Styela clava: one gene and its partner. The protein of the gene in region 1 purifies or fractionates together with the protein of each later gene. This does not show direct contact. Links are inferred from orthologs where the notes say so. Each region holds a gene or a part of one and is shown in the gene's direction. Other genes may lie near its edges.

Evidence for each region. Proteins that work in one complex are often made in the same cells at the same time.
Region 2: the proteins of leucine zipper transcription factor-like protein 1 (region 1) and BBSome complex member BBS7-like purify together in Homo sapiens (affinity purification with mass spectrometry; 3 studies listed by BioGRID and IntAct, counting the BioPlex papers as one, with this or other methods). This does not show direct contact. The link is inferred for Styela clava from reciprocal best matches to the Homo sapiens genes LZTFL1 and BBS7.

Annotation. Positions count from the first base shown.
Region 1 is NC_135252.1:24,401,728-24,409,980, forward strand, and holds the start of leucine zipper transcription factor-like protein 1, read left to right. Parts: upstream 1-4,982; 5' UTR 4,983-4,993; intron 4,994-7,603; exon of another isoform or gene 7,604-7,643; coding exon of another isoform or gene 7,644-7,713; intron 7,714-7,947; coding exon of another isoform or gene 7,948-8,006; intron 8,007-8,253. Other genes in the region: uncharacterized protein LOC120343336, read left to right, coding at 7,644-7,713, 7,948-8,006. UniProt on the Homo sapiens protein: Regulates ciliary localization of the BBSome complex. Together with the BBSome complex, controls SMO ciliary trafficking and contributes to the sonic hedgehog (SHH) pathway regulation. May play a role in neurite outgrowth. May have tumor suppressor function.
Region 2 is NC_135263.1:9,596,543-9,604,567, forward strand, and holds the start of BBSome complex member BBS7-like, read left to right. Parts: upstream 1-4,998; 5' UTR 4,999-5,119; coding exon 5,120-5,155; intron 5,156-5,403; coding exon 5,404-5,538; intron 5,539-5,608; coding exon 5,609-5,784; intron 5,785-6,376; coding exon 6,377-6,569; intron 6,570-7,208; coding exon 7,209-7,348; intron 7,349-7,896; coding exon 7,897-8,025. Other genes in the region: NADPH-dependent diflavin oxidoreductase 1-like, read left to right, coding at 15-247, 723-936, 1,009-1,153; coiled-coil domain-containing protein 166-like, read left to right, coding at 3,557-4,444.

The DNA of each region.
Region 1 (8,253 bases):
CCACGACATATTTGCGCTCTCTGTCCAAGTTAAGTGTAAATCCTTCTTCATCAAATCCCGGGAATGTAAACTTGCTAATACATATGTTTGATTTCCATTCACAGCTTCTCCATTTTGTTCTTTCGGCTGTTTTGTACCACGGTAGTTGTTTGTGTCCACTTCCATTGTTAAATCTTTTGATGGTTCTGACGGATTCGTTAAGTCTACTTGATGTTGTTGCTTTATTCCAAGCCAGATAGAATGCCAATACTCGAGTAGCAACCGTACTTGTATCCGAAACTAAGCTCGCTAGTTTTTCTACAAAACCCACCAAGTCTAAGCTTTCTGTACACGATTTTCGGCGCTCCAGAAGTATGTGTGCCAATATGAAGGTAACAAATGTCGTTCGCCTACTTTACATCAAGTTGTGTAAATGAACGGAAGCTTATGTGAAGGGAGTATATTCACTTGGCTAATACAAACAGTCCCCGAACTGGGGGTAGAACTAAAATAGGGAAAATCGGAATAAAATTATGGCCTAACCCTAACCTGGTACACATCCTACAGAGTATCCGATTTTCTGCAAATAAAAACAACAACGAGTGGTTCAAGGGTTGTTTCGGGCGATTGTAATTCTGTAAAGGAAATCTCATAATATTCATCTCAACAATTAATATAATTCCCACTATTTCATGCTGTACTAACAGTTCGCCGAACTGTTGTAATTCAAACAGCATATTCGAATGCCTTGCTTTATAATAGTTTCACTTCATAAGTAATACCAGTACTTTTGTCGAATTGAACTTCCCAGGAAGATAAATGGGCAAAGACTACCGCTAATTGATTCTCCCGACTTTCTCAATGTTTTTTTTTTTGTTGTTGATTTTTCAGAATGTCTTCAGCGGAGTTCCAAAGTCATTTTTCTTTAATCTCCTTAAATTGCCAATCTTGTACGCTTCCGCTGTGACAGCAGTTGTTTGGGAGTTTTTGCAAACATTCAAGGCATAGAAAATTTGAATCCTGTAAATTATGTGAAAAATGCAGATAACATACCCTCAACTTTCTCTTTTAGCTCATCGCAAGCCACACCAGGCCCACTTCTAGTCTGCTTTAAATGTCGTTTGCGCTGAGCGTTGTCTTGCTTGGCTTTATTTTTTATTTTTTTCCATGCATCTTTTAAATTCTCTGTTCTGCGACACAAGGTGCCAGTTGCGTTGAATTTAGCTTCGATTTGATATTATCATAAAGCTGGAGGCATCATCATTAATGTCGCAGGCTTTCACATTTTCTTCCAGGATTCTGTGGTGCCCAAGATTCTTGTAGAGATCATCATACAGCTCTTCATGCGATAAACATTTCTCGTAACATTCGTTCACTCCTTATGTCGAATCTACAGCCATTAGATGCCAGCGTCAGAACCGAAACATCTACGCACTCTCGCGGCGACATAACAGGGTTCATATCTACCTGGTGCACAATCAGCAATTTCCCTACACCCGGTGAACAACCCCCTAGAAAATAGTTTATCACTAATAACAAAATATCTACCATATATCGGTTATTGGCCCGACCGCCTCGTTCATCGACAATTTTTGTTTTGTTTTTCACTTTCTGGTAAGTCTCTGGAATTATCCATTTCGTCAAATGTCTGCGTGGCGGCACCTGGTAACTAGGTTCCGAATCCGCAATTAGTCGTATAAATCGTTCGTTTTCGACTATCAAATATGGAACAAAATACGCTCCAATCATTTCGTCAATTTTCTTTGTGATCCTTTCATAGGCGGGATGCGATGATTCATTTTCTGTTTTTCAGCGAATATTTGCGTAATAGTTTGCTGAGTATTCACATCCAGAACATCGACACTCCTTTTCCCAATCACGGCATTAATACTAAGCATTAATACATTAATGAAAGGTTCTCAAATGTTTAATCACCGAGCTGGTAGTATCAATCGATTAATCACTTTTATTTTCGTCACTCAAAAAAAAAAAAAAGGCAAAAAACGGTCAAACAAGAGGACCTGGAGGACAGGCATAACTTAATGAAGAAGTTCAAAACGTACAAGTACGTGCTCGTACACTAAAAACAGTCAAATAAAGACACGATATAAAAACGGGCGATTAGGATGTGAGACACTGATCAAAAGAAGAAAATACTCATTGGTCATTGCTACGAATATAAACTCGACGTTCTTCGATGCTCGGGGGAACATCTATATATAATGTCTCAGCCTCTCCCTCCTCCGGCTAAGTTATCTACTGACTACTGCCATTGCCGGTCTTTTTACCAGTCCATTTTTTTTTATATATCATTTTCCTATAATCTTCTATTTTGTCATTGTTTCCGTGCGTTAACTTTCTTCTCACCGTGTCTGATGTTATTTCACTGAACCTGCTGCTGCTTTTGATATATTTCAAACGCTGTTGTTGCAATATCTGCTCCTATGCTGGGCAATTCTCCTCCTAACCCTGATAGTCCTCCACCTACCTCTCCTGCAAGTGTACCTCCTTTTGCTCCTACGAATCTTCCTCGAATTCCCCCCGCTATATCACTTAATATCCCTCCACTACTCTCCCCATTTTTCGTCGCATTCCTCAGCACTGTGTTTCTTAATTTTTGAAACTCTGCCACTTCTTCCTTTTTAGCATTCGTAATATTTTTAACTCTTCTTATAAGTATCTCTATCTGTCTCTCTCTTTTTACTCCACCCGCTTATTTATCCCCAATATCTCCCTCTGATTCATCTATTCTCATGCGTAATTGTTGTATTTCTATATGATAACCCATCGCATCCGGCATAAATTCATAACTAGCTCCAGTCGCACTCTCTGCATACGCCCACCTTTGTTTCATCCAATTATACCAACTCATTGTGCCTGAAATATATTTTTATAACATTAAATATCTTCATAACGAGGAACAATATTGTTTAATCTAACTCTATATGGTTCAGTCACTCCGTCCTCGATTTCTATCATTATCCGGCACATCCACCCAACAGGGCCACAATCGCGATCAGAGATATGACGATAATAGCCAAAGCCATCCCAGATGATGTCTATTTTAATGTATTGTCGTAGTCGGTCCAGTTCATTTCGGTACTGTACTAATTATTTCTTGTATTACCAAACTTATTTGCCGCCCTCTGGCATCAATTTTGTCTAGTAGCTTTTTTACGACCTTATATTTGTATGTTATCTTTTATAACTTCTTTTATCTTTTTAATTCTTCGTCTCTTTCCGTGGACATATTTGTACTATTCTTCCATGTTTGACTTCAACTTATAAATTCCTATCTTCCCTCCTCTTATATACTTCTTTGGACGGCAGTACCTTACCCTGACAATAATGAACATTAAATATACCCATATTCAGCTCTGCTAGAATGCTAGTTTATTGTAAATGTCACAAACCAACATGATTGTTGGCGCAGAGCCTTGATTAAATCTTAATTGTGGAGCGCGGACTCTGCCCACATAGGGTGTACGGATGGCCAATACCAATACTCTTGACGACCAGGTTGCACTCCCAAAAAGACACGTACTATCACTGTATCAGCATAAGATGTTTTATTTTCTTGTGATGTGTTGCAAACAGTGTAAACCAATACGAACAGACAACGTAGTACGAACAATAAAGTGCGAACAACAATACAGTAGTACGGTTTTCTGAAATACTATGAAAATAATAAATACACAAATATTAAAAAACAAGATCGGGGCAGTATCGTATCAGTAGGCCTATATTATTGTAAACAAACCTTAATTATCTTTATTATGTCACACAATCACCTAATGACCAATTATGGCATCACTAACGGTTATAATAAATAAACAAACAAATTACCTCAGCCGGCATTTTCAAGGCCTGACAGGAAAACAAATACAGACCATGTACAACTTAGAATATAAAACTGTACGTATAAACTCACTTGACGTTGTGTCCTCAAGGGTTGTCAAGCAGTAACTTGAACATTAAATCACAATATCTTGACTGAATTACTTAGCAATATTACAATGACAACTGTGAGGAATATCAATAATACACCATTATTAGCAGTACAAATAAATACCCTACATATATCTATCACTACAAGCCTAAGTCGTTCACTAATTATTCAATTATAAACCCTAAAATACCACTCTCAGACAGACGTCTGCAGCTTCCAGAACCCTGCAGCGTGCGCAGTCCCCTGACGTCACTTCCACAAAGTCATTGTGGTGCAATAGCCAAGCATTCGATGAGCTGGTCCATGGCGCCAACTTGCGGGAGAAATATTAATATTTCAAGATATTGGCGATAACAATGATTATGACTGTAATTTACAAGCCATTCATTGTTATGCATGATACTTAGTGGGACTTCTGGCATTCCTTGGATTGAACAATCTTCATTAAATCTGGCTTGTATTTTGTTGTTGTCAATAGAAGCAGTTCTTTCACAAGGATGCCAGTCAGAACGTATCGCGGCTTGTATTTGTATTTTCACGTGTTTTAAGGTAGAAAAGACAGATTCGTAGACGTATGTAGGCCCAAACATTGACAATAGCCTTTGCCCAGCTCGTTTGACATTGGGGTATTTTTATATTTGCATGCATTTTTATAACTCGATAAAGTCCATTTCAGTTGGCCCTCCTCATGAAGATCGATCATTTCCAACTCAGTCGCAGGCTCATCTGAGACTGGAGAGAATTTTAAACAACCCGTTCCAGGATTAAATGAGTCGATAGTGTTTTGCCCGCTGGCATTTAGCAGAGTGGGAAAATTGGTTAACTTTCTTCCTGGAATATGCGCCTTGAACAGCTTCAGTTTATTAACAAACGAGAACACACATTGCACTATGTCGGGCAGATTTTTTAACTTGCCCTGCAAATTCAGGTTCAGTCTGTTCAAGTGAAAGTCCAGATCCATAATCCACTCGAGGTCCGAGCGCTCGGGATAGTTCTCTTCCATGAACAGCTTCACAGGTCACCCGAAAGCCCTTGATCCAGCTCAGTAATCGGATTGCTGAATTGCCGGTGGTTGAGCGCATGCGTGCAGATGTTCTTATCTGCATTTAACGATTTTTGGACACGTCAGTGTACATAACGATCGTTTCAATATTATGTTGTTGTTTTTGTTAGTATTATTATTCTCTTTCGTCATGATGAAATCGCTTTTCTCTTCGAATACTGGACCAATTTTCAGTGATTAAAGATTGATTTTTTTGCCAGAAGGGTATTTTCTAAATTACTTAAAAATTTCTGTGGACTTCAAGAGATTCGTTTTTTTATGTGTCGGAATAAAAAATAGCGACACGTTGTGACGTGTCCATATATTTGAGCACAGCTCTCTTGTTATTATAGTCTTCGTGACGTTGTCCAAATTCAACGAGTTAGACACGAGTTGCTCCCTGTGAATGATACAGTAATAATGATACAGCCCCACGAGTCTGTTCACACATCCGATTCTTACTGGCGCACCATCCGTGTTTATTGCTGCTATTTTTGATATGGGCAGATTTGCTTTTTCAAATGTAGCCAATATTGCTTTTCACATCTATGCCACGGGTCCTGTCTTTTAATGTCACGATATCAATAAGTTCTTTCTTGATTGAACAATCTTTTGAAACAGATCTTCCGAATATTCCCAATTCAGGCTTGTCTTCTATGTCACAGCTCTAATGCGACACGATGCAAGCGCCACAGTGTCTGAGTGCTTTATGAAATTATGGAAAACAGTTTCTGCTTTTCAGCTTGACTTATCAAATTGATTACCCTTCGGAAATTCATGGTCATGTTATCATGGAGTGAGGTGGCGCTGAGGATTGAGGATTTGAAATGCGCTAGCGATGGCTGACATATAAGGCAGAATGGTTTGCCATTACGTACAACGAAAGATATATGCTCTCCCACTCTGTTAAAAAGGTCCGGCGTTCATCTTCATATTTTCTTTCCTACCATTTTCAGAGCGAACACAAATTGTTTAAATATACTAATACAAAGACAACTAGTTCACGAAGTTCGAGCCTTCCCATTTTTATGCTCGGTCCGCATGTCCTATTTGATAAACTGACCCTAAAACTACAGAAATAAAATACTGTTATATTCAACTACTTACATTTGAATTCAGATGATACCTCTTCAGAGTTACCAGTAGTGATATGAGATAAATATTTTACCCCCAACTTTGCTACCCTAGCAAGGACGAAACGTTTTTTCTGCATTTCGATTACTTCCGTCAAATGGTAAGCTACGCGGTTGCCGCCGGTCTTCGTTTCCTATACGAGTACGACAGCCGTTGCAGTTCAATAAACGATTCTCACACCAACTAATACTATTATGGCGTGATAATGGTCGATTGCATGGTGAACTGAATGAAGAAAGCGCTCGCTTTTAAGCGACTTAAAAGAAGAATGAACTATGATTCATAAATATGACCATCGAAACGTGATGAATCGTAGTCAGCAAGTTTCTTCTTAGAATAACCAAGGCGAAAAGAGCCACATGGGACTCGCGAGCCGCGGGTTGGCCACCCTGCCAATAGATCTCGTACCAGGATTGACATGCTGCAACAGATATCGAATAAGTAGAAAGCAGCATCTTCACAAGGACTATTTATCTTTACAGAAATGGGAACCTGGGCTTCAAGGCTTGTGAACGACAAATAGTTACTTTATATTTTAAATCGCCACCACTCGCATTTCGGATTTTTCTTGGGTAAAAGGTTATTTAAAATTGATTAATTTAGAAATTGTTTTCGTGAGAGGCAACACATCTTTGCTCAGAACACAGCTTTTTTGCAGATTAACCTAAAAATTAAAATAAATTTATGAAACATCTACACATCTAGGTATTTCATTGGCGGACGTCATAAAGGTACCTTCCTTCAATTGTGTGGAGGCTAAACTGGGTGGTTATTTTGTCTTGATCTTTTGCAAGGGCACATCTTATGCTGATATCCTCACGAATTACGCAACAAATGAAGCACTGGAAAATCACGCAAAACGAGAAAATTCCGATGTCCCATAAAATGCACGGCGATAACGCTAACTGGATTTTTCCTGTACAATCACAATGGATGACTCAGGATAAATTTTCGTCCGCGAAAAATTTCGATATGGGAATAGGAAATGACCTATATGGTTGCTGCATGAGAAGGGCGTTTTATGTAGAAGACAACAACGATAAGATGCGTAAACATAGATCTCTCGATGTCCTGTATCACATGAACGACTTGAGGTATGACGACTAGAAATTATAAATTAAATACTGTAGTGACAGGATTGTCTAAGTTTTGGGTAAATATTGCCAAGGTAGCTTATAGTCGTCAGAATGGCAATGTATGTTTTATATTTTTTGTTCGTTCAGGCTAGTTTGTTGGATCATGCGCATGTCAAGCAGGGTCATTCAAATTCACGAGCCGTGTAAATCAAAATGATAAACCTTAAAGCTATATTTGACTCTAAATTGTTTGAGTTGTGCCTCAACTAATAGTCTGCCTCATAGCCTCTACTCAAATATTATTTTATATTACTGCATTTTTTCCACAAAACTTACTCGAAAATGCCAATTAAAACAGCTAATTATGACGGTACTAATCCTGCAATAACCTTAAATATTTTTACAGTTATTTACTTTATATCTAAGCATTTAGCTGTGTCATCAAACCTTTCTAAAAGCAAACATGGACTTTCTTAAAATTATTTTGTTCATCTCTCTCATCTGTGGCTTATTTGCGGAACTAAAAGTACCGGGTAAGATTTGTTTCGGACACAATTACTTGATACACTTTTTTCCACCGCTGGCTTCTGGTACCACGATTGTGAAATATTAAAGATTCCTTAATTTTTATAGAGAGATATCACTCTCAACGCCTATAATTCGGTACTCCCAAAATATTTGAACCAAGATGGCGGACACCGGAACGTGGTACCCATAACTTTTCGCCCAAGATTTCGTTATATTCCATTTCCTATTTTTTTCGTCAGCTGGAGCCTGCGTTTCCAAAATCGTGAATGGAAAACTTGTCCAGGTTGGAGATTGCAAGGTAAGATTTAAGTTTTTATCTTTTTTTTTTATTATTTACTATTTGAATCTGAGCAAGGCTTTGGATAGAAATCACTGTTATGTATAAAACTACTATTTTTCGGATTTATCAAAGCTTTGTTTCCAGAACTGCCTTCCCAATTTTATACCATGTAGCCTACTGGGCAAAGACAGTTGGATCTGGAATTTTCATCTTGCATTTCCTAAACTGTCTAAACAAGGCTTAGGACAAGCTGTTGGGCTCGACG
Region 2 (8,025 bases), on another chromosome or scaffold:
TTCACTTCTTTTAGATACAAAACCATGCTTCATATCCCTCGACAAGGCTTATGCTCTACGTGGTTGTCAACTTTGAACCAAGGTTCAAAGGTTCCAATTTGGATTAAAACGGGAGGTATCAGCTTTCCTAATGCATCTAGCAAAGATTTACAACCTAATGGTACTTCCTGCATCATGATTGGACCAGGCACTGGTGTAGCCCCATTTCGAAGTGCAATACATGAACGAGTATGCAATGAAGAGAAAGGTGGGTGATTTTGAACACAGTGCCCACTGTTGATACTGTAATTGGCTTATATCAGTGCTTTTCAACTGGGGTTAGGTGAGTTCTGAGAATTCTGTAGTGTCCGGTTGGGGTTTCTCTTCGAGTTGTGGTTTCTCTCTGTGTCAATTTTCCAATATCTATTAGTTTACCAACTATAAAGAATAAAACCAGAAGTCGTTCGAATAGTGTAGATATGTATAAATATTTCATTGAGCAACATTGAGCCATTTTATCTTCTGTGATGACTTTTCGTTGTCAGAGTGTCCAACACTGAAAAATTTGACTTATATGTTTATGGCTGTTTTGGATAATTGTTAGTAAAGGTTCTGTGATGAGCCCAATAGCATATCGCGGTTCCACAACTATAAAAGGTGGAGAAGCACTGGTTTATAGGTTGGTTTAGACTGAAAATTTCTGAAATACGTAATTGCATTGCATGTAAAATTCCCTTTTTCAGGAAATGTTCTCTTTTTTGGATGTCGGAATAAGGATGCTGATTTTTATTTTCAAGAAGAGTGGAATAGTTTGATTCAAGATAGATGTCTGCAATTATTCACTGCATTTTCAAGAGATCAAGATGAAAAAATTTATGTTCAGCACAGGATAGCGGAACATGGTCAATTACTGTGGGATATTATTAGTAAATGCAATGGAAATATCTATGTAGCAGGGTAGGTATTCTCTATTATAAGTTAATCATTGTTTTAGTCAGTATCAATTTATCTTATCTCTATTATGTTTAGGAATTCAAAAAACATGCCGGATAGTGTCCGAGATGCTTTCTTGAAGATTTTTAAAGAATTTGGAGAGATGACCGAAAAAGAAGCATTTGAATTTTATGAAACTATGCAGAAAAATAAAAAATATCAACAAGAAACATGGTCTTGACACATCTTAATGCGTACTTTTAGCAAATTAATAAATCAATTTTATCATTTTTGCCTGTTTTTATTGTGAACAACTGTCTGTGCACGAAGGTGTAATAATATTAGAAAGCATATACCGTACATTTTTTGATAGATGTGTTCATCCGACCATATAAAACCAGATGTTTCTGTTGGGAAGTTATTTGAATATAGCGATCCATTTTCGGTGATGTTAATGATGCTTTTAGCAAATTAATAAATCATCATATGATAATTTTATCATTTTTGTCTGTTTTCAAAATAAGCAACTGTTTGTGAACAACTGTCTGTGCACGAAGGGGTTATAATATTAGAAAGCAGATACGGTACATTATTTGATAGATGTGTTCATCCGACCATATAAAACCAGATGTTTCTGTTGGGAAGTTATTTGAATATAGCGATCCGTTTTCCGTGATGTTAATGATGCTTTTAGCAAATTAATTAATCATCATATGATGATTTATCATTTTTGTCTGTTTTCAAAATAAGCAACTGTTTGTGAACAAAGGTGTAATAATATTGTAAAGTATATCCACAATATCTTATTGATTCCTCAGCAAGTTGTTTCTGTTAGAAGTTATCCGAATATAGCGATAATGCAGCCATCTCAGATGTACGTTTTGATGGAAGTTTATCAGCTGGCCACTAACTTTTTGTGTAGTTGGGCTCCTGGTGGAATGACATTGAGGCCATTTTAAGATGATGAGCAATGATGTTGCCTGCTGTTTTCGAATTAGGATCAGATTTGTGGCTCAAGCCAGTTCGAACAATTTCATTTGCAACCGAAAGTTCTAGCTCACCCCTGTAAATTTTAGGTAAAAACAGGGTGCGCAACATTCTTTCATTATTGATTAATGGGAAAATAAAACGATACTGTCTAGTTGGTGAGTGGCCGCGTGCTTGAACGTTGCTTACGTTGGTGTTAGTTACGGTATACCGGTACTCGTACTAGGATTACTCTCAGTTTCGTATGACTGTATTTTTTTGTTGTTTTATTCATGTCAAGAAAGTCACAATAATTTAAATTGACGTACTTACCGTTCGAAATCAATCATGCGTATGATGTAACCAAGGTTTTGCTCATCCAAGCATAAAATTTGAAATATTTCGGCAGAAAACAAACCAACATCGCTTTTCATTTTTTGCCTAATTTTCGTTACGCCCTGACGTTCATTACCACAACTGTTTGTAAATTATGAAATACAAGCAGACTTAACTGCTCGTGTAGCGCGCTTTTTCACATCAAAATTGATATCCAGACAGGACAGTAGGACGTTCTAACGCAATTTTCAGATTTCAGCGTCAACGATTCTCTGCAAACTGTGGCACGAGGACGTTAACCGACACGTCCAACCGCGGTGTTTCTGTGTTTTTCCATTATGCAATTTACAATTTTGACCATTCAAGTCTTATTAATAGTTCAAAAGTTGAGCAACCTCGATAGGTTGTGACCCAGTAAGGTGGACATAAACCTATATCATTGGTGGCGAACCTTATTTCTGTATTTCATGAATGAGCCAATCATCATTTTTTTATTGCATGATTCAGTGATTGCTGGATTGTGGAAACTGGGGAAAAAGACAGTGGGTCATAGATATTCATTGAAGCTCGCAAAATTATAAACATGATGTTTCATCTTTTTCACAAGTTTTATAATCCTTGGTTTGTATTGTGTATCTTTGAGCTTCACACATGCCACATTTATAGGTATAGTTATAAGTTCAGAAGTTAGTGGTGATTTATGGTACTCTAGTTTATGACATTGATTTATAAAAACATGGATTCGCATGTGTATAAATTAATCGAAAATCGTTTACAATGCAGTAATACTACAGCAAATCGTCTTATGGGATTGAAAAGATTTTGCAAAGGATTTCAACTCTAGGAGAATTATAATTTTTAATCCAATCACATAAATCCATCCTGTTCAGTTTTTATTTCAGATTGCTATGTTTGTAAATTAGGTCAATAAAATTTTGTTTTCTTGAAGGCATTGTATGCGTGAATTATAAACTGCAGAGTAGTATATAGTTCGAAGTCTTATGCTCTTTTCGTTAATTCTTCACTGTCGCTTTGTGACCCACAAGTCATTGGTGGATGTATAGCCTATCATAATGTTATAACATAAAACATACTAGTATACTAACCTACTACTGTACTATGGTAAATGATCTCAAAACATTTGAATATTAAATTTTTTAATATAGGCTTACTGAGGTCTGGAGGTGTAAGGAATATTGATGCCGCTATTTTCAAATATTCCATACAGTTATCAGTGCATCGGGATATAAAATGCACTGAAATATTTATCAGGCTACTTATCATACTCTCATAACATAATAAATCAATGTATAATTTATTTTCAGAACTAAGATAACATAATATGCCGCCCAAAAAGAAAGGTGGAAAAAAGAAGGGCAAAAAGGCAGCTGCAGATGAAGCACCTGCTGATGATGCAGAAAACGCTAAGGAGCCTACAGGTCCTACTGACAGAGAAGTTTATTTAAAAAAAGAACTGAATCATTTGACTAACGATTTAGAAAGACTTAAAAAGCAGTCAGAGGAACTCAGAAAAGAAAATGAAGTATTACAACAAGAAGCTCAACATACCAGAATTGAAAGCCATGAATACATGTCATACATGGCAAAAAAGACACATAAACGTCAAACAACAATTGTGTCTTTAAGCGATCAAAACCAGAAGGAACTTGAAAAAATAAATTCTCAAAAAGAACAAATGTTATCGGATTATGAAGAGAAAAAGAATAAGTTAAAAGCAACTCTTTTGGAAAAAGAAAGTTTACTCACAAAAGCGAGAAAAGAGTTTCAAGATTTAGGTGAATATCGAGAACTTCGTGAAGATCAGTTGAAAAAAATAAAGCAACTCGAGCGTGAAGTTCTACACATGCGTGGAAAACATTCGGACACAATTCAACAGCTGAAAGCAAAATTTTTGCAGGAAAAGGCAGAATATACTGAAGAGAGTGAAAATAAAATTCAAGCATTAGCTCTGGAAGCTAACAAAAAAGCTGTTCAATGTTTGAACGAACATACAACAAATATAAAGTATGAAAATCGACAACTCAGAGCGGAACTTCTTAATTTAATCAGAAGAAGTCAGGTTTTAAATCAGCATAAACAAGAATTGGAAGAACAGAAAAAGCAGCTACAACGAGAACAACAGTACAGTGAAGATATTCGTAAACTACGTGGCGTGAGACAAAAGAAAGCTCTGGCACAAATGGAAAGAGAAGAACAAGAAAAACAATGAATTCCAAATCGTTAGCAAAAACTTCATATTGAGATATTTTGAAAACCGCTAGTTGAAATTTATTATTAAATATAGGGAAATTGTCACATTCTGTAATTAAAAGATTGTTTCATATATCATTGATAGCTAAATACTCTTTTTAATTTAACCCAGAATTTTTTTTTGTGGTTCCATTTATCATTATTCTCAGTGTTTATAACAACTTTATTGTTGAAATCCAATTCAGTTTCTTTACTGTAATTTTGTGGCGAAATAAATTCATTGTGATATTCTGTGATAACTTTTTGTTGCATTCAATCAGTAGAACACAACTATTCAATAGTTTTCGATATATTTTTATAATTTAGGGAACAAAACCTAGGCATTGATACAGTATAATTTTTAAATTTTATGTCTCCATGTTCTCTTTAGTGTTTGTTCTATAGTATGGCATTATAAGATTTCTAAGGCTTATATATATATACTCATACTTATTTCAGTTTCAAGTCATTTTCAAATATTCCCAGTATTTATGTATTTCACTGTCAACTTATTTTGTTTTAGTTTCATTACATGCTTGTATCATTTAAAGCTTCCTATAATTCCAGTTTATATCACTCACTGTATCTATCAATTTATGACAACTTCGCTGTATTTTTATAGTGTATAAATAATTTATTAGAATATTTTTCACACATGGATTTGGATCTTCACAGGGTGGATTACTTGCAGGTATTTTTTTATTTTGCTTATAGTATTACTCAAGCTGTAACATCGACATAGTCCTTGTAAGCTAACCTCTATGCTGTGAGCTTATTGCATTGAACTATGCTCTTATGTTCTGGGCACTGACTATTAACAGTTGTATTTGACAGAGAATCATCTCGGCTTAATTTAGATAAAATTCCATTTATGATGTCAAAATACCAGATAAATTTATACTTGTCATTGTCAATACTATATGTTTTTTCATATCACAGGTCGCAGTTACCGGAAAAAATTGCATGAAAGTTTTACCCAACAATGAAAAATCAAAAAGAATTTTGCAGAAAGTTGTAGTTGCGGACAAGAGCGGGGTTGTTACTTGTTTTGGATCGAAAAAAAGAGATATTTCTGTAAATAATTTATTTATTATCTTCGGATTGCAAAATAAACAATTTTTTATGGTAAAATCTCATTTTTCAGAATGTTTTCAAGACTTTGCCAGGAGAACCAAACAATTTTCTGGATTTGGGTGGTGCATTAGGAACTCCGCAAGATAAAATATTTGTTGCATCTGGTTCTGTTGTGCACGGCTACTCAAGAAAAGGAAAAAAGTTTCTAGGATTTGACACAAATATTACAGAAAACATAAAGTGCATGTAAGATAATAAATGTTAACTGAGTGACCCAAAATACAAAATCTAGATCAGTTAAAACATATTCTGGAGGGAACATAACTTTTGTGTGAAGCATCCTAGATTAGTAAAACTTTTTGGTAGAATCATACACAAAAAGAATTTCAAATGTTAAATAATGTTTTAATTACCGTAATTGTTGCGATTTATGGGTTCTGTGTTTTGGGTCACCCTGTATATCTAAGGGATAGTTTCTGTATGATATAGAATTTGATTTTATCGAACTTTTATGCTCTATTGTAGCTATGATATAAATGTTCTTTGCAAAATTTTGCTACATATTTTTGTATAAAATATTACAAAGTAAGATCACCTGAGTGACTAAAGCAAAATCACATTTATATACAGAAATAATTGCCTGATGTGGCGTCTTGGCTATCATGATATCACAGGCCAAAGATTTTCAGGTCTTTGTTCAGTTCTAAATCCTCTTCACCCTGTCATTGCAAGACCAGAAATATCTTTATGGTGCTTATAAAATGCCTTGTTTAGATAAAATGTATAGAAAACCTCGTGTTTCTTTTTATGATTTAATTATTTTCAATTTCATTTCTAGTTGTGTGAGCGGAAGTGACCTTCTCATTGCAGGAGAATATATTTACAATCATTTTTGTGATTGCATTGACAAAGGATATTATCTGAGCAGCGATAAAATAAATGATATCATATGTATTCCTGTACTTCGAAAAGAAGGCGACAATTTCACACCAATTCTAGCTTGCAATGACAGATTACTTCGTGTTCTTGATGTAAGATGATCTTACAAGTTTGACGATAATAAAAAATGTGTGCTTTGGATATTTTTTGTTTATCAACTTGAATCTTAAATCTCAACTCAGCATCTTGAATATAGCTTAGAATTTTCATATTTATCCCATGAATAGGAAATTTAATAACAAAACTTAATCATATGGCGAACTACGTCCTACGTCCCGTTACCAGTTCATGTCGATAAAGGAATAAATAACCAGTTATTTGTTTCAGATGCATGGACTTGATAGTAAATAGAGCAATAACTTACCAGCTATCAGCCACCCACATATTATTGATTCTCAAATACCTATTGGCATCAAATATTTATGATGTGCTTTGATAAATTAAGTTTCAGATAAACAAGTTTCAGATAAATTATCTAGCACAAAGCATTAAATAGCATGGATCAAATTGCAGAACATTCCTCAGCAATACATATGTTCACAGTATCTTATGGTTTCATCTGATCAAAATATAGGTGATGTTAAATAACCATCCTCGATATTATTATATTGTCTATCTGTCCACTTTGGAATTGATTACTTTTGCTATTCTCCACCTATTTTGTCTAGACCTCTACATAAAGCTCCCTAGCTTAATTTCATTGTATAATTTCTAAATAAATCTTTATACAGGGCACTGAGCTACGATATGAAATTGAAGTAGCTGGTGTTCCACAATGCATAGTTCCTTACCTTGGTAACGCAGGTGAAGAGGGAAATGAAATAATATATGGGACTGTAGATGGAACGATTGGCCATATTGTCGTTGGCAGGTATGTAGAGCTGAGAGCTGTTGCTAGGGTCTATCAAATGACCATATATCATAAAACCACTATTTTGATCAGTTTAAATTTAAAATTATTACGAGGTTGTTTAGAAAGTCGCCCAGTCCTCCCAAGGACGCTTATTTCAGGTGGGGGTTATGTAGTGCTAAGATTTAACCCTTTTGTACCCCAGTACCCCGGTTTTAAATTTATACCAGCATTGTCCGGCCAAGGCTTTGAGCAATCACTTGAATGTCAAGGTAAAAATATTATACCAATTAGCTTCTGTCTACTTTCCATCTGAGTATATTCTGTATATTGACCGTTTACGTGCTAATTTATCATCCTGTCTGACCTGAATGGTCTATAGACAATATATTAAAACATTTATTCTTATCCCAACCTCAAAATATCACTCTGTGTGTTCTAGTTTGAAGAATGATTTTACAGATCAAGTGAAAAAATGTTCGTACGAAATCAAACAAAACCATGATTAAATCAAATATCAAGCAGACATCAAAATCAAGAAAAATTAATCTTTTACATTTTATTGATAGGGATGAACCCAATCATACATGGGAGCTACCTAATGATAGAAATTTAGGTGGGGTATCCTGCTTGGCACATCATGATATGACTGGGAACGGAACGCCTGATCTTTTGGTGGGAAGAGAAGATGGTACAGT